Linked DNA regions of Sus scrofa. The protein of the gene in region 1 purifies or fractionates together with the protein of each later gene. This does not show direct contact. Links are inferred from orthologs where the notes say so. Each region holds a gene or a part of one and is shown in the gene's direction. Other genes may lie near its edges. The genes, in order: KEAP1, RBX1, IKBKB, MAP1LC3A, FAM129B, GABPA and SLK.

The links.
Region 2: the proteins of KEAP1 (region 1) and RBX1 purify together in Homo sapiens (affinity purification with western blotting; 6 studies listed by BioGRID). This does not show direct contact. The link is inferred for Sus scrofa from reciprocal best matches to the Homo sapiens genes KEAP1 and RBX1.
Region 3: the proteins of KEAP1 (region 1) and IKBKB purify together in Homo sapiens (affinity purification with western blotting; 7 studies listed by BioGRID and IntAct, with this or other methods). This does not show direct contact. The link is inferred for Sus scrofa from reciprocal best matches to the Homo sapiens genes KEAP1 and IKBKB.
Region 4: the proteins of KEAP1 (region 1) and MAP1LC3A purify together in Homo sapiens (affinity purification with mass spectrometry; 3 studies listed by BioGRID and IntAct, with this or other methods). This does not show direct contact. The link is inferred for Sus scrofa from reciprocal best matches to the Homo sapiens genes KEAP1 and MAP1LC3A.
Region 5: the proteins of KEAP1 (region 1) and FAM129B purify together in Homo sapiens (affinity purification with mass spectrometry; 3 studies listed by BioGRID and IntAct, with this or other methods). This does not show direct contact. The link is inferred for Sus scrofa from reciprocal best matches to the Homo sapiens genes KEAP1 and NIBAN2.
Region 6: the proteins of KEAP1 (region 1) and GABPA purify together in Homo sapiens (affinity purification with western blotting; 3 studies listed by BioGRID). This does not show direct contact. The link is inferred for Sus scrofa from reciprocal best matches to the Homo sapiens genes KEAP1 and GABPA.
Region 7: the proteins of KEAP1 (region 1) and SLK purify together in Homo sapiens (affinity purification with western blotting; 3 studies listed by BioGRID and IntAct, with this or other methods). This does not show direct contact. The link is inferred for Sus scrofa from reciprocal best matches to the Homo sapiens genes KEAP1 and SLK.

What each region holds. Positions count from the first base shown.
Region 1 is NC_010444.4:69,280,441-69,283,475, reverse strand, and holds the end of KEAP1 (kelch-like ECH-associated protein 1), read left to right. Parts: intron 1-724; coding exon 725-930; intron 931-1,218; coding exon 1,219-1,395; intron 1,396-1,805; coding exon 1,806-1,972; 3' UTR 1,973-2,535; downstream 2,536-3,035. UniProt on the Homo sapiens protein: Substrate-specific adapter of a BCR (BTB-CUL3-RBX1) E3 ubiquitin ligase complex that regulates the response to oxidative stress by targeting NFE2L2/NRF2 for ubiquitination.
Region 2 is NC_010447.5:7,504,865-7,508,364, reverse strand, and holds part of RBX1 (E3 ubiquitin-protein ligase RBX1), read left to right. Parts: intron 1-351; coding exon 352-422; intron 423-3,248; coding exon 3,249-3,334; intron 3,335-3,500. UniProt on the Homo sapiens protein: E3 ubiquitin ligase component of multiple cullin-RING-based E3 ubiquitin-protein ligase (CRLs) complexes which mediate the ubiquitination and subsequent proteasomal degradation of target proteins, including proteins involved in cell cycle progression, signal transduction, transcription and transcription-coupled nucleotide excision repair.
Region 3 is NC_010459.5:11,331,834-11,335,333, forward strand, and holds part of IKBKB (inhibitor of nuclear factor kappa-B kinase subunit beta), read left to right. Parts: intron 1-171; coding exon 172-286; intron 287-1,692; coding exon 1,693-1,816; intron 1,817-2,353; coding exon 2,354-2,505; intron 2,506-2,926; coding exon 2,927-2,988; intron 2,989-3,500.
Region 4 is NC_010459.5:37,956,365-37,960,005, forward strand, and holds MAP1LC3A (microtubule-associated proteins 1A/1B light chain 3A), read left to right. Parts: upstream 1-1,465; 5' UTR 1,466-1,617; coding exon 1,618-1,657; intron 1,658-1,980; coding exon 1,981-2,036; intron 2,037-2,122; coding exon 2,123-2,229; intron 2,230-2,536; coding exon 2,537-2,699; 3' UTR 2,700-3,141; downstream 3,142-3,641. UniProt on the Homo sapiens protein: Ubiquitin-like modifier involved in formation of autophagosomal vacuoles (autophagosomes). While LC3s are involved in elongation of the phagophore membrane, the GABARAP/GATE-16 subfamily is essential for a later stage in autophagosome maturation.
Region 5 is NC_010443.5:268,024,523-268,028,022, reverse strand, and holds part of FAM129B (niban-like protein 1), read left to right. Parts: intron 1-1,895; coding exon 1,896-2,024; intron 2,025-3,500. UniProt on the Homo sapiens protein: May play a role in apoptosis suppression. May promote melanoma cell invasion in vitro.
Region 6 is NC_010455.5:189,303,013-189,306,512, forward strand, and holds part of GABPA (GA-binding protein alpha chain), read left to right. Parts: intron 1-2,705; coding exon 2,706-2,951; intron 2,952-3,500.
Region 7 is NC_010456.5:114,947,463-114,950,962, forward strand, and holds part of SLK (STE20-like serine/threonine-protein kinase), read left to right. Parts: intron 1-737; coding exon 738-862; intron 863-1,380; coding exon 1,381-1,569; intron 1,570-2,141; coding exon 2,142-2,267; intron 2,268-3,161; coding exon 3,162-3,275; intron 3,276-3,500. UniProt on the Homo sapiens protein: Mediates apoptosis and actin stress fiber dissolution.

The sequences.
Region 1 (3,035 bases):
CCATAGGATACCTGGCATTGGTGGGTTTGGAGTAAGGCCAGGAGTGGGAATTTTTAATACACGCCTCAGACAGAGGGCTCTAATGTACATAGTCTTTGAATAGGACAATAAGATGATGCATCACCCTCAGCAGGCCACTTTCAAGATAAAAGGGGCCCTAGGAATTATTCTAGGAGCACAGGCCTGAACTGAAAATGCCCCAGCCAACTGGGATATATGGTCACTCCATCTTTGACCATCATAATTTGAGAAGAACCATGCCAGGCTGTAGCCATGTTGTTAGAACTGGGGTTCTAGTGTTCAAGAAGGCTGGATCACACCCCAGCTCTGCCACTTCCTTGGTGACCCTGGGCCTGCCACTTCACCTCTCTGTGCCTCCGTCTTGTCATCTGAGAAGTAAGGGACGATCATGAGGACTGACTTCGCCACCACACTGGATGGTCTTTGGTGAGATGACACACGTAACACTCAGTACAGGGCCTGGCGGTGTTGTGATGGAGCCATTGGGGTCCAGCAGATGTACGTGTGACCTTGAGCAGATGGTGGCTATGAACCTTAGTTCTCTTATCTGGAGAAGGGACCTACTGATAACTTGTGCCTGAGGGAATCCTTGTGAGGATTAAAGAGTTCAAGTGCCTGGAGGCCTAGCAGAATCTAAGTGTGGGGGGGTCAGTGTTCCTGGTTAGCAGTGGTTGCTGTTGTCACTGTTATTATGTCCTTGCAGGTATGAACCCGAGCGGGATGAGTGGCACTTGGTGGCTCCAATGCTGACGCGAAGGATCGGGGTGGGAGTGGCTGTCCTCAACCGTCTGCTCTACGCAGTTGGGGGCTTTGACGGGACAAACCGCCTCAACTCAGCAGAGTGTTACTACCCAGAGAGGAATGAGTGGCGAATGATCACACCCATGAACACCATTCGAAGTGGGGCAGGTGGGCGGGGGCTTCAGGGAGGGGAGCCAGGAGACACACCCTCTCACCCCTAGGAGTGAAACTTGGCCAGGCCACTTGTCTCAACCTTGAACCCTGTGGCACACACAGGAGAGCTAGATTCTGAGAGTCCAAGCTCCTCTGTCCCAGCTTTGTTTTTGAAGGTTTCCTCAGAAGAGGGGAGAAGGGAGAGGGAAGGGAGAGGGGAGGGTCCCCCCGACCCGAAAAGGTGGTGGCCGGGGCACCCTAGGCCAGGCCCTGGAGTCAACCTCTCTGTGTGGTGTGGTTTAGGAGTCTGTGTCCTGCACAACTGTATCTATGCTGCGGGGGGCTACGATGGTCAGGACCAGCTGAACAGTGTGGAACGCTACGACGTGGAGACAGAAACGTGGACTTTCGTAGCCCCCATGAAGCATCGGCGAAGCGCCCTGGGGATTACTGTGCATCAGGGAAGAATCTATGTTCTCGGTGAGGCCCTGGGAGTGGGAGTCTGGGTGGAGAAGCCCATCTAGCCTCATCTTTTAGGGGCAGGCTCAAATCATGGTGGGAAAGAGTTCCATTTGTGGCTCAGTGGTAACAAATTCGACTGACTAGTATCCATGAGGATGCAGGTTCAATCTCTGACCTCACTCAGTGGTTTAAGATCCGGCTTTGCTATGAGCTGTGGTTTAGGTCTCAGACATGGCTCGGATCCCGTGTTGCTGTGGCTGTGGCATAGGCCAGCAGCTGCAGCTCCACTTCGACCCCTGGCCTGGGAACTTCCATATGCTGTACCTGTGGTGCCCCCACCCTCAAAAATCCTGGTGGGAGGCTTCTCGTGGTTTCTCCCTTTCCCCAGCCTTCGGAGGGACTGACCATCCCTTTTACTCTTCTGGCAGGAGGCTATGATGGTCACACATTCTTGGACAGTGTGGAATGTTATGACCCAGACACGGACACCTGGAGCGAGGTGACCCGCATGACATCCGGCCGGAGTGGGGTTGGTGTCGCCGTCACCATGGAACCCTGTCGGAAGCAGATTGACCAGCAGAACTGTACCTGTTGAGCCACTTTTGTTTCTTGGGCAAAAAAAGGGTCAGATCAAGAGTATTATCACTTTTGTATCAAAACAGGGACAAAAGAAAAAGCTACAGAGCAAAGGCTTGTCCTCCAAGATAGGAAGCTGGGATGCCTCAGTGTTAAAACGACAACTCCAAAGGCCAGAGTGGGAACCTGTGAGCCTGTCAGAGTGGTCCCAGGAATGTCTGGGAGAACTTGCCTGGGAGGTGGGTGCAGGAAGGGCGGGCCCCCGGAGAGAGGCCCCCAAACCCACTACCCCAAGACTGGGCCTGGGTCCTACACCAGCAGCCACCACCTCCCTTTGGGATGAAAGCAGGTGCCGAGGACAGACTGTTTTTTTTTCCCTGCAACTCTGTGTTTGGTTCCTTGAGGCCTGGGAAGGAGCCAACTGAGGCCTCAGGGGCTGAGGCCCCTTCCTGCTTAAGGACCCCAGGGACGGGCCTGTACATAGAAACCACTGGATATCGCTGCCCTGGACAGTCATTTTGTTGATAAGTAACCCTGTAACTTTCCAATGAAAATAAAGAACAAACTAACTAGTGTCTTCCACTGGAGCTCTCAGCTGGAGGTCTTGAACCCCTGGGGGCAGAAAGGACTCTTCCTCTGAAATGTACTGAAGTCTTTGATTTAGGGCTTGGATTTGAAACCAGTTTGTTATCTCTGCCCATTGAACTTTTAAATGTAGGGCATCTTTCTCCCCATAGGCAAGCCACACAGGGCTTGCTTTGTCCATCACTTTTAGCTGCTTTAAAGACACCTACCTAACCCCTTTACACATCTCCTAGGGCTCCCTGAGGTTAATTTCACATATGCACAGTGTATATTTTCACAGTTAATTTTTTGGCCACGCCCTCAGCATGTGGAAGTCCCCTGGCCAGCAGGGATCAAACCCAAGCTCCTGTTGCAACCTGTACCACAGCTGCGGCAACACTGGATCCTCGCTGTGCCACACGAGAACTTCCTCACAGTTAATATTTTAAGGCAGACCATCCCCACATGCCTCCCAATTTGTTGAAAGTATCCTTATGCACTTAAGTAACATAGACTTT
Region 2 (3,500 bases), on another chromosome or scaffold:
AATTACTAAATTTGCCAAATTAGGAGGAATCACTTGCATTTGGACAAGTCAGGTTATGTTCACAATTAAAAAGTGCCTTTTCCTTTGTTACTCCACTTGCAAACGAGGGTAGGAAGTTGTTGCAAAGCACACTGCTAAGTCGGATCTCTGCCTTTTCTAGTCTTTGCTCCTTTCCACATTCATTAAAAAACAATTATGACTAATTAGCCACTTGAGATTTTGTTCATGTTTCCGCCATCACCACCGCCGCCACCCCAGTCGTGTTGTTGTGCAATTGTGCAGAGAGGGCAGCTGTAGATGACAAGGTGGTTGCGCCTGGGTCCAGTGATCTCGTTGCTCTTGTTCCCACAGGCATAGAGTGTCAAGCCAACCAGGCGTCGGCTACTTCTGAAGAGTGCACCGTTGCGTGGGGAGTCTGTAACGTAAGGAAACCTCTTTCCTATCAGCATGGCTTGTAAACATAGTACCGCTTTCCCTGCTTTGCCAGTCTTTAAAATAAGAAAAATAAAATGATTCGTCCACCTCTCTCCCAAAAGGTACACAAATGGTTAAATAATAAAAAAGACTTTAAATCACTGTACTTTCACTTGTTACGAGGTAAAAATTACTAGTTATTGCAGAGTCAGTATTCATTCTAAAGGGCACCCACTTTTGTCAGCAACGTTCTCCTGTTAGTGGAGGTCTTTAATTTCCTTTTTTTTTTTGCTTTTTAGGACAGCACCTGAGGCATATGGAGGTTCCCAGGCTAAGGGTTGACTTGGAGATGCAGCCGCCGGCCTCCACCACAGCCACAGCAACTCGGGATCCGAGCCATGTCTGTGACCTACACCACAGCTCACGGCAACACCGTATTCTTAACCCACTAAGCGAGGCCAGGGATCGAACCTGCATCCCGATGGATCCTAGTCGGGTTTGTTAATTGCTTAATTGCTGAGCCACGAAGGGAACTCTGAGATCTTTAATTTCTTGAGATTTTTAAAAGGCTAGATGTCTTGTGGAACTAAGGTGAATAAATTGTTCATGTTTATGTGTGTATTTTAAGTTTGGCAAATGTACTAAGTTGGGATTGGGGTTATTTTCAATGTGGCTCATGCCAGAAATGTTTGTGCAACATCGTTGGACTGAAGGCCCAGCCTTCCAGGGTGTGACAGCTGTGAATGACAGCAAACACCAAGTATGTTATTTCCAGCAAGTGTGAAAAAATTCATTCTTATAGCCACGTAGTCCCAGTCATAGGAGCTAAATTTGTCCTGTCCGGGCATCCTGTGCCCAGGGGACAGAGGGCTCCCCGCCTGTCATAGGGCTAAGAAGACAGACCCCCACTTCCTGTCTCTGCTGCTTCAGGCGAGGTATTGGCCTCATTAAGCCTCGTGTGAAATGGAGCTGAGGGTCGGCATCAGGATGAACTGATTCTTAAGAAGTGCTTGGAGGGAGTTCCCCTTGTGGCTCAGTGGGTTAAGAACCCGACTACTGTCCATGAGGTTGCGGGTTTGATCCCGGGCCTCGTTCACTGGGTTAAAGAATCCGGCACTGCTGTGAGCTGTGAGCTGTGGTGCAGGTCGCAGACATGGCTCGGATCCCGTGTTGCTGTGGCTCTGGCGTAGTCCTACAGCTGCAGCTCCGATTGGAGCCCTTAGCCTGGGAACTTCCATATGCTGCAGGTGCCATAAAAAGGAAAAAAAAAGAAGAGGTGCGTAGAACACCTCGTGCATGTCGCGAGCGTACTTGTTAATAAGCTTAAAGTTGGGGTGGTGATCCTGAGGAGAGAGTCCCTGTCAGTCCTTTTCTCCCTCAGGTGGAAGCCCTGCCCACACCCCGTGGGCACCTTCCTAATGCCGGCAGGGCCCCTTGGCAGTTTCACATTAGCCCCTGTTGGCCAAGGGACAATGTCTGTCATTTATGGGGACCAAGAAATAAAGTCTCTCGGGTCTGTGTTCTCCATGGCATCCAGGCGTTTACTAAGAAGCGTGGCACTTTGTGCCGGAAGGAAAGAGCCTGCCAATAAGAGCTGCCAGGTGTGCTTGAAACATCTGGACTAGTCCCAGGTTCTAGTTCTGGGTCTTTTACTGACCACCCTGTGAATGAGGCAAGTTACTTAACTTGTCTGGGGTTCAGTTTTCTGTCTGTAAAATGAAGATAATAATACCTGTTGTGCTTGTTCGCCAGGGTTGCCAGAGGCTCAAATGAGGTCATAGATGTTTACAGGTCTCCCGTGAAGCGCTAGGCAGTGTATTTTGAGACTGCTCCATGCACCCATCACTAGGTCTTCGATTGTTAACGGGCAGGAGGCTGGGATCCGGGACGCTGAGGGATGCTGTCACTGGCCTGCAGCCCCTCTCTGCCTCCATCTCCCGAGGTGGCTGGGAGAGTGCGGCTGCGGGGTGCACGGCGGGGAGCCGGGGCTGGGTGGCCTGAGTGCGCCTGTCCCTGCCACCTGGGGACTGAGAAGAATGCCTCTGCTTTCTGCCTTTGGGAAGTTTTGTTTTTTTCCTCTTTTTTTGTACTGTATGGTCATCAGGAGGAGAGGGATCTTTCAAAAGGCTGTCAGCTCTGGGGGAGTATTTGTCCTGTTGGTGGCCCGGGTACTGGCTGTGGACTCCATGCTTCCCTACTGAGCTCTGCTTCTGTTTTGTCAAAGGACAGTTCATAGGTGATAATCCACATTATGATTCTTTAAGTTCCAGGCATGTTTTAAGAGACACACTGACCAGATCTCAAGACTGTTACTAGGAGTCCCTATTGTGGCTCAAGTAACAAGTCTGACTAGCATCCATGAGGACTCCAGTTTGATCTCTGGCCTCATTCAGTGGGTTACGGATCTGGCGTTGCTGTGAGCTGTGGTGTAGGTCACAGACGTGGCTTGGACACCGCTTTGCTGTGGCTGTGGCGTAGGCCAGCAGCTACAGCTCTGGTTGGACCCCTAGCCTGGGAACTTCCATATGGCTGCAAGTGCTGCCCTAAAAAGCAAAAAAAAAAAAAAAACACAAAGAAGAGAAGAGAGCTCCCTGCTGGAACATCCGCCATGCTTTCTAGTAATGACATTTCTAACAGATGTTTCATTGGACATGGCCTTGTACCTAACCAAGGTATAGCCAGTTGGGGCTCTTTTGTCTCCTGTTGTTTGTCACCGCCCGTTGTTCTCCAGCCCCGTGTGTAACCACCCTACTGCCCTGGAGATGAGATGGATCGTCAGTAGATAGCTGAGGCTGCACAGGATTATTTTTAATAAAATTTGTCTTTTTTTCCAGCATGCTTTTCACTTCCACTGCATCTCCCGCTGGCTCAAAACACGGCAGGTGTGTCCGTTGGACAACAGAGAGTGGGAATTCCAAAAGTAGGTGTCTCTGGCTGTTTTGACATTGTAAGGGTGGGTGTTGTGGTTGGTGCCATTCTTTGACTCACTTCAAGCTTGGCGGGCGCGTGGTCTTAAAAGATGGACACGTGAAACTTGCCTTGTTTCATAAACTAGCTCTTGGTTAGTTAGACAAGGACTCATCTAT
Region 3 (3,500 bases), on another chromosome or scaffold:
GTGTAAAGGAGCAGCGGAAGGGGGTTGAGTCCGAAGTCAGTAAGAAGGCTTTGTGGGTGCCGCGCTGGCTGAGGGCGATGCCGGTGGGCCACTCTGGAGCCTGTCCCCTGGCCCCTGGGAAAAGGAGGAGATGGGTCCCCAAGAGCCCCTTTTGCTCTTGTCCCTCTGCAGCTGAACGAGGGCCGCACCCTGGACATGGATCTCGTCTTCCTCTTTGACAACAGCAGAGTCACCTATGACACCCAGATCTCCCCACGGCCCCAGCCCGAAAGCGTCAGCTGCATCCGTAAGAATGGCATGGCCTTTGAAAAAAATAGTCACTTAGAGTGCTTGAGATAAGCCCTGGACCTCGGGACTCCCCCACGCCAGAAGATGGGAGTTCCCATTGTGGTGCAGCAGAAATGAATCCAACTAGTATCCATGAGGATATGGGTATGATCCCTGGCCTCACTCAGTGGGTCAGGGATCCAGAAGGCCTTCTTTGTTAGAACACATGAGGAGGTGGCCCAGCGAAGAGGAAAGGACATCGATCTTCAGTTGATTTCAGCCTCATTTAAACAGAGGACAGGGAGTTCCTGTCATGGCTCAGTGGTTAACGAATCCGACTAGAACCAGGAGGTTGCAGATTTGATCCCTGCCCTTGCTCAGTGGGTTAACGATCCGGCATTGCTGTGAGCTGTGGTGTAGGTCGCAGACGAGGCTCGGATCCTGCGTTGCTGTGGCTCTGGCGTAGGCCGGTGGCTACAGCTCCGATTAGACCCCTAGCCTGGGAACCTCCATATGCCACAGGAGCGGCCCTAGAAGAGGCAAAAAGACAAAACAAAAAACAAAACAAAACAAAAAAACAGAGGACAGAGAATACTGCCCACAGGCCGCTGAACTTGAATCACGTGGCCATTTTTTTAATTTGTTTTTTTTTCTTTTTAGGGCCGCACCCACTGCATGTGGACTTCCCAGGCTAGGGGTCTAATCGGAGCAGCAGCTGCTGGCCTACGCCAGAGCCACAGCAACCCGGAATCCACGCCATGTCTGAGACCTATGCCACAGCTCATGGCAGTTCTGGATCCCTGACCCACTGAGCGAGGCCAGGGATCATACCCATATCCTCATGGATACTAGTTGGATTCATTTCTGCTGCGCCACAATGGGAACTCCCATTTTATATTTTAATGATGAAACATTCACGTGATACCAACAAATCAAAACGCACAGAACATACAGTGAGAGTTCCTGCTGTGGTGCCATGGGTTAAAGATTTGGCTTGTCTTTGTGAAGACACAGGTTCAATCCTAGCCCGGGCGTTGCTGCAGCTGTGATTTAGGTCAGCTCCCACTCAGATTCGACCCCTGGCCTGGGGATTTCATATGCCAAAAAAGAAAAAAAAAGAATATACACTGAACAGTAAGCCCCCCCACCTCCTGCCCAGTCTCCCCAGTTCCGTGGCCTCTTCCAGGAAAACCGCTGCTCCCAGATTCCTGGTCTACCTTCCGCATGTCCTGTGCATCTGTAAATCAAAATGGCACAGGGCACAGGGTGTCTGAGACAGTAACCAAGCCTAATACCCGACACAGTCGTGTCAGGGCAGAGCGGTTACATAACCTAGCGATGTAGACGTGGCAGTGGCCGGGCTCCGCAGGCAGGATGCGGTGTGTCACCGGCATGGCTCCCTGACAGTCATGTGTCTCTGTCCAGTGCAAGAGCCCAAGCGGAACCTCCCGTTTTTCCAGCTGAGGAAGGTGTGGGGCCAGGTCTGGCACAGCATCCAGGCCCTGAAGGAAGACTGCAGCCGCCTGCAGCAGGGACAGCGTGCTGCCATGTACGTGCCCACGGTTTGGGCTTTGCTTATTCAGAGCTGCCTGGTGGCCCTGCCACAGGGCAATGGCCAAGGCAGGGGTCCAACTGTTGGGAGAGAGACATAGGGTGGGGGAGGTGGGAAGGGGTTGGCCCGGCGAGGGTCAGGGGGATGCTTGAGGAAGGCCCTGTGAGACCCAGTGGGGTGTGTGCACTCAGCACAGTCGCAGGAGTGTAAGTGGGGCCACCGGGAAGCCCTCGACAGTTTGGGTCATCAGCCCTCCCCTGCCGTCGTTCCAGGACTGGCTCGCTCTTTCCCCAGGATGTGGCTTCTCTGGGCCACTCTGTGTGTACTTTGCCTAGTTCCAGTTTTGAAGCAGAACCCCAGGCGTTGCTCAGAGCCAGGAAACTGACTTTATGGTTATAAGTGGCTGCTCTTATTATAATGATGCTAATTATAGCAGAGCCTGCTGGTGGTGTTCGGGTCATTTTGTTATTGTACGGGAAGTGGCGCTCAGATCCCACAGGCGCCCCAAGCTTCCGTTTCTCATGGCCGCTGCAGGATGAATCTGCTTCGGAACAACAGCTGCCTGTCCAAGATGAAGAACTCCATGGCCTCCATGTCCCAGCAGCTCAAGGCCAAGCTTGATTTCTTCAAAACCAGCATCCAGATTGACCTGGAGAAGTACAGCGAGCAGACAGAGTTTGGGATCAGTGAGTGTGCCCTTTACAATAAGTCTGGAGGGGAGTTCCTGTTGTGGCACAGTGGAAACAAAAGTGACTGCTATCCATGAGGACGAGGGTTCGATCCCTGGCCTCGCTCAGTGGGTTAAGGATCCAGTGTTGCCGTGAGTTCTTGAGCAAGTCATAGACGCAGCTAGGATCCCACACTGCTGTGGCTGTGGCCTAGGCTGGTAGCTATAGAGCTCATTCGACCACTAGCCTGGGAACTTCCATGTGCCTCAGGTATGGCCCTAAAAAAAAAAAAAAAGTCTGGAGGGACAGTCTCTTTCTTTTTTCTTTTTCTGAGGTTTCTTTTGTCCTCTCCTATTTGAGTTGCTTATCTCTGTTTTGGATTGTGGGGGTGGGGGTGTTTTCATTTTGTTTTTCATTTTTCCCTCCTTTTTTCCCCCAGCATCGGACAAACTGCTGCTGGCCTGGAGGGAGATGGAACAGGCCGTGGAGCTCTGCGGACGGGTAGGCAGGGCCCCCAGGTCCGAGGCCCTGCCCAGGGTACCAGGCTCTTCACTGCCATCTTCCTCTTTCTCACTGAACCCTGGGTCGAGCTTGCATATCAGAAATTAGCTTTTCCAGAGTTCCCAGTGTGGCTCAGTGGTAACCAACCTGACTAGTATCCATGAGGACTCAGGTTCGATCCCTGGCTCTGCTCAGTGGGTTAAGAATCCAGAGTTAGGAGTTCCCGTCGTGGTGCAGTGGTTAACGAATCCGACTAGGAACCATGAGGTTGCAGGTTCGGTCCCTGCCCTTGCTCAGTGGGTTGACAATCCGGCGTTGCCGTGAGCTGTGGTGTGGGTCGCAGACACGGCTTGGATCCCGCATTGCTGTGGCTCTGGCTAGGCTGGCGGCTACAGCTCCGATTAGACCCCTAGCCTGGGAACCTCCATATGCCGCAGGAGCGGCCCAAGAAATAGCAAAAAGACAAAAAAAAAAAAAAAAGAAATCCAGAGTTGCTGTGAGCTGTGGTGTAG
Region 4 (3,641 bases), on another chromosome or scaffold:
GCTATGAATATATCTTTTGGTTAGTTTTTCTCTCATATACTTTTTCCCATCTTTTTACTTTTGATTTCCTTAGGTTTTAAATGTCCTCTTGTAAACAGCAGAGCTGCATTTTATTTTTCTTGGCCAATTTGTTCATCTGTTTTAACAGGTGAATGTAAAACATTTAATACCTCTGGTTTTGTACCATTTATATACCATTCTTTTCACTTTGCTTTCCCTTTTCTCTTTTTCTATCTATTACATTTTTTTAATACCCTTTACTAAACTTTTCTCTTTTATGCATTGACATATACTTTCTATTCTTTGAGTGATCCCTCTGAAGTGTTTGAAATACATACTTGACTATACAAAGCCAGGTAATTATCAGTTAGCTTTATCCTCTTCCTCTCCAATAAATCAAGCTTCTTAAAACACTTGACCTCTGACCCCCCTCCCCAGTCCTACATGTGCCATGCTCCTGTGCTATGCTCCAGACTCATCAGCACCATTCTTGTTCCACAGCAGGTGTTTGTTTAGATCCACTTCCCATTTTACCAGCTTAGTAGCTTACCATTTTTCTAATTTCTTCTCCTTAGAGTTGGGCAAATTCACTACAGAGTGTCTAGATGAGTTTTTATTTATTCTGTTCTGGATGTTATATGAGGATCCTGGTTTTTAATCAATTTTGGAAGTTTTTCTCCAGAGCTTCACGGTCTTTTCTCTCCTTCTGGAATGCTAATTAGACCTGTGAATTCTCACTTTGCCATTTCTGTCACTTATTTTATACCATGTAAACATGGTTTGTTTTCCAGGTAATTGCTTCTGCTCTCTCATCCACTTCAGTGATTTTCTTTTTTGCTATATCTAACAGGGCTTGCTTGCCTCGTCCTTCTGAGACCTGAATTTCAGTAGCTGTTTTTCAATTCTAGAAATTCCTTCTAAAACCTCTAGGTTCCTTTTCAGTGTCTTGCTGTCTTCATGTTTTAATGCTCACCCAACCCCCCACAATGACCACTACCTTTTTCTTTCTCTAACCATATGCTCCAGGATGAAGACTTCTGGTTCACTGTTGTCATCCCCAATGCCTCATACGGTCCCTGGAACAGAAAAGACTCTGAGCGAGGGCTGTCTGACGCCTTGGTTACAGTGGAAACAGAAGGATGCTATGCCGCAGCCTGGCCAGCTCTCCCCACCGCCAGACCAGCCAGCCTGCTCCCTGGCCTTGCTGGCGTCCATTCTCCCCTCACCCTGGGCCTGGGGGAGCCCACCTCGCCTGCCCCTGCACAGGCCGTGACGTCACAGGACTGTGACGCTCACTGGGCGCCTCCCCTCCTTCGCAGTGTGGGGTTGGGGGTGGGGGCGGGAATGCAGGCTCCCTGCGCCGTGATGTCACGGGCCCGGGCGGGCAGATTTTGCGTCGGCCCAATGGGAACGGCGCGCTGGCCTCCCCTTTAAGGAATGTTATGACCTGACGTCACCCGGGCGAGTTACCTCCCCGAGCCGCCGCCGCTGGGCTCAGCGCGAGCCCCAGAGCCCTTGAGCGGGAGACGCGGAGCCCCCGGAGCCCCCAAACCACAGCCACCTCCCCGCCTCGCGCGACCGGGAGCCCCGGCCTGCGCGCTCCGCCGGGCCTGTGCGATGCCCTCAGACCGGCCTTTCAAGCAGCGGCGGAGCTTCGGTGAGGCCCGACTGGCGATCTGCGAGCGCTAGGGGTGGGGGCGTGGGGGGGTCGGGGGTGTTGGCAGATCTACTTGTCTGCCGCAGGTGACGTCAGCTTCATGACGTCAAGCTCGGGTTGGACCCCTGGGCTGGGAAGCAGGCTAGGGCCTGGGCCCGGGCCTCCGCCTCCCATCCCAGTGCTGTGCCCCGGCCCTGGCCCTACCTCCACCCGCCTGGGGCTTGGCGGGGGGCGGGGCGGGGTCGGGGGCCGCCCCTCGGGGACTAGTGGGGCGGAACCCAAGGAGAACCTCGGCTGGCCTCATCCCCGACTGCTGTCTGCAGCCGACCGCCGTAAGGAGGTGCAGCAGATCCGCGACCAGCACCCTAGCAAGATCCCGGTGAGTCCTACCGCATACCCCGCCCCCGTCCCCTGGCCCCAGGTCCAGCCTCCCGCTCACGCGTCCCCGCCCCACCTCACTCCCAGGTGATCATCGAGCGCTACAAGGGTGAGAAGCAGCTGCCAGTCCTGGACAAGACCAAGTTCCTGGTCCCAGACCATGTCAACATGAGCGAGTTGGTCAAGATCATCCGGTGCGCTGGCAGCAGCTGTCAGGAGGGGGACTTGGGTCCTGCTGGGATCAGGCATTGGTCTGGGTCCTTCTGAGAAGGAAGGGGTGGGGGTGGGACATGGGACGGGGTGCCGAAGCCCTCTTCTGGGGAGGTTGGGAACGGTCAAGGTCAGGCCTGGGATCAGTATCTTGTCAGAGGTGAGAGCTTCTAGAAGGGGCTGGGATGGGTGTGAGGGGGAGAATCAAAGTCAGGGTGGGTAGGGGGTGAGGGCTACACTCACCCAGCGGCCAGGCCCCTCACGTTTGGCTTGCCCTCCCGCCCACCTCAGGCGCCGCCTGCAGCTGAACCCCACGCAGGCCTTCTTCCTGCTGGTGAACCAGCACAGCATGGTGAGCGTGTCCACGCCCATCGCGGACATCTATGAGCAGGAGAAGGATGAGGATGGCTTCCTCTACATGGTCTACGCCTCCCAGGAAACCTTCGGCTTCTGAGCCAGCAGTAGGGGGTGTTGGCTGGGAGTCGGGGGCCCTGTCAGGCTCTGCCCAGGGAGCTCCTGGCACTGGAACTAAGCTGTCTCTGCCCCTGCCCCTGGTGGGTTGGACAGGGATGCTGCCACCCAGCCAGAGGGCACCTATCACCCCTACTCTGCCCCTGGATGGATTCTGGCCCAGTCATATTAGGGTTGCCCCTCCGGGTGCTGGCTGGGAGGGGGAAGAGTGGGAAGCAGCCCCCAGCACCCCTGCCCTGTGTGGTTTGTCTTTTTTTTAGACCCCTGCCTGTCTGCCCACCTGTCCCTCCCCAACCTGAGGCGCTGCCCATGCCTGGATCTGCCCACCCCTGAAGGACTGGGTCCTGGCTCACCTGGTCTTGACATGGTGTATGGCTCTGTGGTCATTGTCCCTTTGCAGAATAAAGATTGCTCAGGCCTGCCTGGCCCTTTGCCTCCAGCTGCTTGGGGAGTGGGGAGGGCTGTGGGTGGGGCTGCCCCCACCGTTGTCCTCTCACTGGTGCACAGACTTGTGTGCTGTGGACTCAGGGCTCATTCAGGAAACCCACGCCTGTGTATAGTGCATCGTGGGGGTACTAGAGGCCAAGCCCACCTCTTCCACGAGGGCAGCATGGTTCCAGGTAGACGTTTTCATAACAAAAGAAACATTTATTAAGTAGCCACAGCCTAACAAACCCTGCTCACCTGCTTCTTCCCCTTTCCTGCTTGGGAGGGGCTCCTGGTGTGCAGAGCCACACAGTGGGGGCCAGGTGGAGACTCCTGGCTCCGCCCCACAGGCCTTGCTGCCAGCCTTGGCTCCTCACTGGTGCCAGATATTCATGACCCTGGACTCAAACCTCATCTGCCCCAGGGCTTGCCTGCTGGCAACGCTGGCTAGAGGGCTTGGCCCAGCTTCTGGGCCTTTCGCCCCCTGAGGTCCGTGCAG
Region 5 (3,500 bases), on another chromosome or scaffold:
TTTTATTAGAAATAATAATACAACTGTATTAGTTGAAAGTAAGAACTAGGGAAAACAGCCATCCTGTGGCGTGGGCGCTGGTCCTCCAGCCGTCTTGACACTGCTCCGAGGGGTTGAGAGCATGTCCTTGTCACAGGGGTGGACGCCGAGGCATGGAGAGGGAGTCGCTTGTCTGGGCTCCAGTGGGGCGGCCGGTGGAGCCGGGACGGGAGCCCCGGGGCCCCGCGCTCCAGCCATTCGCCTCCCACCCAAGAGGCCCGTCGGGGCATCCGAGAGCTTTGCAGAGTCCAAAATATTTGGCCTGGGCTGTCGGGTTCCGTTTCATTTCCTGCAGGGCTTCCAGTGGAAATACGACTCTGCCGTTTGAAAGCCTTAAAAATAAAACCCAAACCCACAACCAGCCACCCGTTGCGGGCCTCTTCCAGGGCCTGGGGGTGGACTTGGGGGGCCTTCCCCCGGGAAGGCCTGCCTGGGCCCTGGGCTCGGGCTCTAGACAGAGGGGCGGCCACAGACCCGGGGGCCTGGGGGCAGCGAGGGTCTGACCAGGGCGTAGTGAGAGCTCTGCTTTCTTTCTAGAAGGGCCAGGGATTCAAGAGTTGGGTTGAGAGTAGGCCCCAGTCTAAATATAGACCACGGAGCCCAGCTCTGTGACTTGGGCAAAGCCCACTGGGGGTGGGAGGGGGGCTCCTGGTAGGGGAACCATTTTCTTTTCCTGTAAATATTTTTATCCCCGGGTAGGAAGCAGTCTTCGGGTCTCATTGTTTGAGCACAATAGGCCCTCATTTTCCAAGAATGTTTTGGCATTTCCCCTTGAAGAGTGGCGGGAGGCTGTGGTGAGGAGACAGAGCTGAGGGGTGGGGGTGGGGGAGTCTTGGGAGGGGCCGCCCACCTCTGCCTCCTGCTGCCCTGCAGACCCAGAAGCCAGGCAGGAAGCTTGGAAGGGTCGGGCACCACTAAAATAATCCCTCCTCCCTTTATTACATATGAGACGTGTTTCTTTTTGCAAAAGCCACCCTATTTGTTGTAGGACAGTTAGAAGCTGCTGAGAAACAGGAGCTTGACCCCCCGGCTTCCTCCCGTCCAGGAGTAAGTCTGCTCCCTCGTGGCCTTGGCATCTCCTTCCTGAAGCTTCCTGGTGCTGTCTGCTCAGGAAGCACGCTCTCAGGCACGGCCACCCCCTCCCCTTCCCGAAATAAGTCAGTCCAAGGAGCCGGAGACTGACGGACAGGAGCGCCAGAGTGGGTCGTGGTCGTGGGGCCCCCGAGTCTCGTGCTGCCTGCCAGGTGCCAGCGGTGTCCCCTTTGCTCAAGATGACATTGGTGAGGTCCGTGCCGTCACTGCTCCCTTTGTACAGATGAGGAAACTGAGGCCCAGAGAGGTGCTGTGACAGTCACACTGAGTCAGAGGGAGCGTCGAAGCGAGGGCTTTGCAGGAAGGTCTGGGCTGCAGGTCCAGTGGGAACCCTCCAGACTGAGCTGGGAAGAGAAGTGCTCAGGTGCTGGGGTCTTCCCAGTCCTGGGTCGTGGACATGTCCCCTCCGGCTGGAGCGACCACCCACGCCGCAGTGGGGGTGGATGGGGGAGCAGCGTGGCTTGGGCTCCCTGTTTGCCTGGGGCCAGGACCGAGTGGGGTCCTGTCTGAGTCCCGTGTTGTGGTGCTGGGCCTGGGTGCACATGCCGGCAACCCTGCCCTACCTGGACCCCCTTCGCTGCCCGAGCCTCACTTTCCTCATCTGCCCGAGGGGTGAGATGCCGCCCTGCCTCGGAGGTGGGTGAGGGGGCTCGCTGAGGTGGGGGTGGGGTGTGCCCAGCAGGGGGTGAGCGCCCAGGCTTCACCTCCTCGGAGGACCCCCCACTCGCACTCTGGGCCTCATCCCTGGCCCTCCCCTCTCACAGGTGCCGCTGGAGGAACGCATCATCTTCTCGGGGAACCTCTTCCAGTACCAGGAGGACAACAAGAAGTGGAGGAACCGCTTCAGCCTCGTGCCCCACAACTACGGGCTGGTGCTGTACGAGAACAAAGTGGTGAGGCCCCCGGCCCGGCCGCACGGAGCCTCCAGCTCCTCCTGGGCCCGGCAGGTTGCTTCTTCCCCCGGTCCCCCGGCCCCTAAATCTAAGACTCCACACCTCCGCCCTCCCTTGGCGGGTGCCAGGGCCCAAAACAGAATCTCAGCACCCTCCCCGACCCCCTTCCTGCCTCCCCAAACCTTCCTTCTAAGTGGCATTTCATCCATCCTGACACCCAGCTCTCTGGGGTCACCCTTCACTCTGCCTCTCGCTCTGTAAGCAGCTCATCATGGACCCCCGCCCACCCCAGGTCCCTCGAGATGGCTCCGTTTCCAGGGCTCTCCTCCGCCCAGCCCCCTCCCTCGCTCCTCAGTAGCCACAGCACGCTGGCCAGTCCCCACTCAGATGACCCCTGGGTGGCGGTCCTATCTCTTTCCTTACTGGCTCCCCCGCAACCCCCTGCCCTGCAATGGGAGGCTATGTCCTTTGATTGTTCCTTTGCTTTTCGGGCCCTTGGTGAAGCCCACCTGGTTGAGCCACAGACCCCAATTTTTCGACCAAACAGTTCTCCAGAGCAGCCAAAGGACAGGCTTCAGTGCCCTGTGTTTGGAGGCAAATCCCTGTTACAGTAACATGAGCAGAGTCAGAAGTCATCTAAGGCCCCAGGGCAGTGCTTCTCAAGCACCAAGATCACCTGGAGGGCTCGTTAAGAAGCAGGAGCTCCCCGCCCCGAGTTTGATTCACATCTGGAGTAGAGTTAGGAATCTGTTTTTCTAACACGTGCCAGGGTGCTGTTGCTGCTGTGGAAAATCATGGTGGTGGAGGTGCCAACCCCTCATGAAGTGTGCTGAGGAGTTCCCCTCGTGGCTCAGGGGTAACAGACCCGACTAGTATCCATGAGGACATAGGTTCGATCCCCAGCCTTGCTCAGTGGGTTAAGGATCTGGCATGACCGTGAGCTGTAGTGTAGGTCGCAGATGTGGCTCAGATCCTGAGTTGCTGTGGCGTAGGCTGGAGGCTACAGCTCTGATTCAACCCCTGGCCTGGGTACCTCCATCTGCCGCAGGTGTGGCCCTAAAAAAAAAAAAAAAAAAGTGCTGAATAGTGACACCTAGTGGCAGGGTGCAGCATGGCAGCCATGCTGTATGAGCTCCCACATCAGAACCATTTTTTTCTCCCCACTGGTGTAAGAAAGCAGTGCCCAGACCTAACTTCCTCCCAAGGAGAACACTTGTGTGGTGCTCAGAACCTAGGAAGTTAGTGGACAGTTCCTAAGGGTCAGAGACCCTGGGCTCTAGAGGCTGACAGACCAGGTTCACGTCCTAGGTGGGCTGCCTCCCAACTATGTGAATTTGTGGCTAAGAATGGGCCCCACCTCTGGATCATGGGAACTCTGTGAAGTGAAGCACGTGGGGCCCTGTGCCTGGTATGTGATGAACACGCAGCTAGTGGTGGCTGCTGACCGTAGAGGCAGTGGGAGCGGCCGTGGTGATA
Region 6 (3,500 bases), on another chromosome or scaffold:
CCAAAAAATGGATGCCATGTATATGCTTGTCCCCTCTTAGCTCATTTCCAAATAGAAGATGCATGCCTAAATCACACCTGGAATCCTGTCTGCAAAGCAATCTAGTCTGTGTAGCTTAGCACAGAGAGAGGAATTTGCCAAGGGTATGGAGTGACCCAGTGAGCCATATCTCTCACAGTGTTTTTACAAATCTGTGTAAGTACACAAGATAGAAAATTAGGAAACCATTTTTGGTACATTGAGTTTTAGTTTTTTAAAATGAGCCTTTGAAATTTCTGACTGGAGTTTTAGACTGATTTTAATCTCTGAATGTATTATATTGCTGACAATTATGTTTCTCCAACCAAAGTTTTGTTCAGATTATGAAAATGGTAATTATCCACCTTAATTTCCCCAGGATTTACTGTTGTTGGAAATAAGAAAGAAAATCAGTCTTTTTTTCTATCTTTAAAAGCTTAGTGACCTCTCAATTCAAGTGCGTTTACGAATGGTTGACGAAATTTGAATGGAGGTTTAGGGGAAATTTTTTTTTCTGAAAAATTATGATTTTTTTTCATGTATATTTGAAAAAAAGTGATTTCTTTTATATTACCTAATAAGTGATAACAGTATATTTTCTTATAATACTGGTTCCACAATTGAATTGAATTGTTTTTATGATTGAACTTCACAGTATTACACTTGAGTTTTGTTTTTTCTTTCAAAGCACTTAAATTAACTTTTGATACAGATTGTAACTGAATCAGTGAGCAAACATTAGCTGTTAAGTTGTATGATAGTTTCTTAGAGCTGTCATTTTAACCTAAGTATCTGAGGTTATTTTGTAAAGAAGAGTTTTTTCTCTTTTAAATATCCTAAGGATTTGGGTTTTTCTTCAGTCGAAAATGAGAATTTAATGATGTGAATTTAACTTAAATTCAGTGTCTTTATTTTCAAAACATGTACTTTGTTTCCTTAAAGGAAAAGCAGTCAAGGAGTTCCCGTCGTGGCTCAGTGGTTAACGAATCCAACTGGGAACCGTGAGGCTGCTGGTTCGATCCCTGGCCTTTCTCAGTGGGTTAAGGATCCGGCGTTACCATGAGCTGTGGTGTAGGTCACAGATGCGGCTCGGATCCTGTGTTGCTGTGGCTGTGGTGTAGGCCGGCGGCTACAGCTCCAATTAGACCCCTAGCCTGGGAACCTCCATATGCCGTGGGTGTAGCCCTAGAAAAGGAAAAAAAAAAAAAAAAAAAGCAGTCAATAAATAATTTTAGTTTGCTTAGAAAGACTTTTTAAAGTTCTGAAGTTAGGTAGCTACTCATATTTGCCCTCTCTGGTTTAGTTTTTATTTTCTATTCTACACTGGTACTTTTTTTACTGGTGTTTGTCAATGGGGTGTGTATGTATGTGTGCATGTGTGGTGGTGGGGGTCTTAAAGTGTTTTAGACGTAGAGAAAAGTTGCAAGTGTAGTAAAAGAGTTGTTGGATGTCCTTCGTCCAGCTTCCCCAAATGTTAACTTTCATTACACTTGCTTTATTCTCTCTCCCCTTCATCCTCACATTAGTTTTCTGACGTGTTGAAAAATAAGATACTGGAGTTCCCATTGTGGCTCATCAGGTTAAGAACCCAGTGTAGTCTCCATGAGGATGTGGGTTTGATCCTTAGCCTCGCTCTGTGGATCAAGGATCTGACATTGCCTCAGGCTGTGGCATGGGCTGCAGATGCAGGTTGGCCTCCATGTGGTCATGGCTGTGGTGTAGGCCTGCAGCTGCAGCTCCCTTTCGACCCCTAGCCTGGGAACTTCCATGTGCCGCAGGGGCAGCTGTAAAAATAAATAAGTAAATAAATAAAAGTAAAATAAAAATAAGATTCAGACACAATCTCTTTAGCTAAATACAGTGGTGTGTGTGGTTTCCAAAAACAAGGAATTTTTTTTTTTTTTTTTTTTTGCAGCATATGGAAGTTCCCAGGCTAGGGTTGAATCAGAGCTGTAGCTGCTGGTCTATGCCACAGCTACAGCAACACCAGATCTGAGCCACATCTGTGACCCACACCACAGCTCATGGCAACACTTGATTCTTAACTCACTGAGCGAGACCAGGGATCGAACCTGTGTCCTTAGGATATTAATCATTCATTTCTGCTGAGCCGTGCCAGGAATGTCAAACAAGGAATTCTTTTATATGATCACAATTATCAAAATAAGGAAATTAATGTTTATATAATACTGTTATCTGATCTACCAAAGTTCTGTTGAATTGTTATTTTTATCATTTAATAGAAATCTGTTAAGGAGTTCCCATGTGGCTCAGAGGTTAACGAATCTGAGTAGCATCCACAAAGACATGGGTTCGATCTCTGGCCTCTCTCAGTGGGTTAAGGATCCGGCGTTGCCAAGAGCTGTGATGTAGGTTGCAGATGCGGCTTGGATCCTGAGTTGCTGTGGCTGTGGCGTAGGCCAGTGGCTGCAGCTCAGATTCGACCCCTAGCCTGGGAACCTCCATATGCTGCGGGTGCAGCCCTAGGAAGATAACAGATTTCTCATTTTTTTTTTTTTTTCATCTTTTAAGTTGTCTAGACATAGTGCCAAGAATATTTAAAATGGGTTTTGTTCTACCATTTGAGAATGTATGAACACATAAACTAATCTAAATGTTGTTAGTGACTTTCATTCATGTTCTGACTTAAATATGCTTTTTTATTTTCTCTCCAATTTACTATTAAGGAATCGAACCAAAGCTAAACATCCTGGAAATTGTTAAACCGGCAGAAACAGTTGAAGTAGTTATTGATCCAGATGCCCACCATGCTGAAGCAGAAGCACATCTTGTTGAGGAAGCTCAAGTGATAACTCTTGATGGCACAAAACACATTACAACTATTTCAGATGAAACCTCAGAACAAGTGACACGATGGGCTGCTGCACTTGAGGGTTATAGGAAAGAGCAAGAACGTCTTGGGATACCCTATGGTAATAAAATACATAATAATGATGTTAGGGAGAATAATAAGAATTAAGCTTGACATAGAAAACACTAGGGTGAGTAAGTTATCTATTTTAGATGCAGGATATTTAGGTAATATATTGATTTTCCTGTTTTTTTTTTTTTTTGCTGTTGTTTTTTTGGGGGGTTTGGGTCTGTATATGTGATGGTGCTGGGAATACAAACATACTAAAAAAATTTTGCTCTCAAAGTGTTCACAGTGTAGTTGAAGAGCAAGAAGATAGATGAAAGGAGATAATTGACATAAAGATAACATGTTTTTAAGCTATCAATAACCGGTATAAAGGAAACTGAGAATTACAGTCTCAAAGGGATCATAATGGCCTGGGCGCAGGGCGGTGGGGGGAAGTTGGGGGTTTATTATAGACAAGGAAACTGTTGGGCAGAGGACGACCTTCCAGATAGGAAATGTATGTGCAAAGCTGAGACGTGGGAGTATGCTGTGCGTGAGCATGAGAACATACAGTGAGTGGGGAAGGATTATTCTGTAGCATTATAGAACCGTTTTTGATTGA
Region 7 (3,500 bases), on another chromosome or scaffold:
GTGTATATGTGAAATATCTCCAAAACATTGCAGAGATATACCTTGGAAATTATTTGAATGTTTTCCTTTGCTAGAGTGGTAGAGGGAAAGATAAAGTTGAGGTAAATAAGAGAAAGATGCTTTATAAAATTGAGAAATACTGCAAGAAGTAGAATTCTTTTATGGCAATAGAAGTGAATATAAAAATAATCCTTAAAACATCTTTCTGTCCAGATGATGCTGGAGATATACCTAAATAATTTTATGTACTCATTATGCTTTGTGATATTGGTATACTTAGTTGGCTACATGATAGAATGGAAATTTAAGCACTTATTTCCCCCTATTAAAAAACCTTTGATTTTCTTTTCTGTTCTTCTTTTTTTTTTTTGGCTGCACTCGTGGCATGTGAAAATTCCTGGGCCAAGGATCGAATCCACACCACAGCAGTGACCCAAGGTGCTGCAGTGACAATGCCAGATCCTTAACCTGCTGCGGTAGAGGAGATCTCCTTTTTTTCTTTCTTATTAAGATGATTAAATGTAATTTTGGTATTGGGAGTAGGACATTCTCTTTATAGGACATTAGAATAGAAGGGATATTATGTTTACATTGGTAATACTTCATTTATAGTTCAGAGTGTAATGTGTGTAAAAAATAGTGTATTAGAACACTTTTGTGTGAATATTAAAATATAACCCAAAGTACATTAGTAAAAGGAACAAGGTAACATTTTGAAAATTACTTTCTTCTTGTAGCTCGAGAAGCTGCGATTTGGGAGCTTGAAGAACGGCACTTACAAGAAAAACACCAGCTGCTCAAACAGCAACTTAAAGATCAGTATTTTATGCAAAGACATCAGCTACTTAAGCGCCATGAGAAGGTTAATGAAAGGAAAATTTGTTCACTTTTTGTTCATTTTAAAGTTTGCAGAGCTATTTATTTCTGAAATATTTCTTAGAGAATAAATTTTAGATTTCCTTTCTTTTATCCTAAAATTTCTTTGATGCAATTTGGAGTAATTACTTGTATATTGATCATGACTGTAAATTTCTTTTCTACAAATTCCAAGGAAGGTAACTAATTACAATGCTTAAAGACCTATTATACACTATAATCTTTTTCTTGTCTTTCAAAAGTAGCTATTTTAGCTCCATTTATAGTTCAGGTATCTTAAAAATGTGGACTCATACTTAAAGAAAGTCAATATAAGACTCTTATTACTAATAGTTCTATTTTTATTATAAATTATTTTTTTGTGTAATATTTTGCTGGTCAGTATGCAACAAGAGAGAAAGTCATTTGGGGAAACAAAGGCAAAATGTTATTTTTAAGCATACATGTGGCTACTGAGTATTAAATTTTATCATTGTCACTGGATTCTGTTTCAAATTTTCTTAGGAAACAGAACAAATGCAGCGATACAATCAACGACTTATTGAGGAATTGAAAAACAGACAGACTCAAGAAAGAGCAAGACTCCCTAAGATTCAACGCAGTGAAGCGAAGACTCGAATGGCCATGTTTAAGAAGAGTTTAAGAATTAACTCAACAGCGACACCTGATCAGGACCGCGACAAAATTAAACAAGTAAGTAAGCAAATTGCTCTCTTCTCTTTTAGGTTTGAAATTTTTAGATGGCCTTGCCACACTGTTTTGATTACTGTGGCTTTGTAGTATTGCTTGAAGTCTGGGAGAGTTATGCCTCCGGCTTAGTTTTTGTTTCTCAGGATTGCTTTGGCAATTCTGGGTTTTTTGTGGTTCCACATAAATGTTTGGATTGTTTGTTCTAGTTCTGTGAAAAATGTCATGGGTAATTTGGTAGGGATTGCATTGAATCTGTAGATTGCTTTGGGTAGTATGTTGGCCAGCTTTTTAGTTAAACATATGGTCTCACTATACTTCTGCAGTCACAGGGCCCACATAGAAATTAACTGAGGTCACTAAGTAGTTGGGAGGTACAAGGATTTAATCAGAAGTCTCTCCCTACCCCCGACCAAAGCCATGATGTGGACTGCCATTTTAAATCCCAGAATATTATTACTTGGAGCTTTAGTTTATTATACTTTAAGCTTTGTTAAATTCCATAATTATACCTCTGGAACATGCAGACATTATATTATTTGTTAATCATATTTATCTTTTGTTTTTCTTATTTGTAGTTTGCCGCTCAAGAAGAAAAGAGGCAGAAAAATGAGAGAATGGCTCAGCATCAAAAACATGAAAATCAAATGCGGGATCTTCAGTTGCAGTGTGAAGCTAATGTCCGTGAACTGCATCAACTGCAGGTTAGATCCAAAAGCGGGAACACAAAGCTGGTCGTAGATGCACAGCACAGATGACCGGTTTTGAGGAAGTAATAGCTACGCAAAGTAAGCTGCAGCTTGCTTGTGAAGGCGGGGTGATTTAAAGGTCTTCTTTCTTCTGCAGACCCAAATGAAGATCAGTTGTTGAGATTTTATATAACTGTGATTAATGTAAACATGAAGCTAATTTATAATCCAAGAAGTGGAATTTTTCAAAAGTACTATTGGGAATTTTTAGTGTATTTTGCAGAGAAGATGAACAGAGTTTTTTTAAATGATGAAGGCAGTTTTGTTAGATTCTAAATTTAAAATTTCTTTTTATCTAGGGAGAAAGAATTCATTTTCTTCAAAGTTTTTGGAAAAAGGGATAATTTCTCCTAAGGAATTTAAACATTACTTTAGAGAGGACTGTTTTTGAACCTTACCTAAGTATGCAGCCCGTCTTATAGACAGATAGATAGACAGCCTAAACTGTTTACAATTTCAGAGTAGTGTCTACATTGTGGATATTCTATGTATTTGCCTAATTTACTAGAGCAGAATGACTTCTTGGGGTAAAATCCTTGAAAGGTGCCCTCTCTAAGTAAGGTGTGTCAGTTGTGTAAGTAAACCTTCTTAGAAAGGGAAATCAGGCTCAAACTAGTTCTTTCTATTCAAGATCTTTTCATGTGGTAAATAACAGATCTAGCCTCTAAACTTGCAAAAATAAAGCAGTGACTCATTTCATAATTCTTGGCCCTTGATTTTTAGAGGAGAATTTCAACCTCAGTAATAGCCTGATGTTTGATGAGTACTTTATTATTTTGAAAGATAATTGTGTTTGTGAAAAATTGACAACTTGATCTGAAATGTTTTTAATCCAAACTTAATTTTCAGAATGAAAAATGCCACCTATTGGTTGAACATGAGACTCAGAAACTGAAGGAGTTAGATGAGGAACACATCCAAGAATTAAAAGAATGGAGAGAGAAATTGAGACCTAGGAAAAAGGTAATTTTAAAAACTTTAATTAAGATATGCTTGTGAAGTTCCCATCATGGCTCAATAGTTAATGAACCTGACTATTATCCATGAGGATGCAGGTACCATCCCTGGCCTTGCTTAGTGGGCTGAGGATCTCGCGTTTGCCGTGAGCTGTGGTACAGGTCACACACGTGGCTCGAACCCTGCGTTGCTGTGGCTGTTCTGTAGGCTGGCAGCTGCAGCTCTGATTAG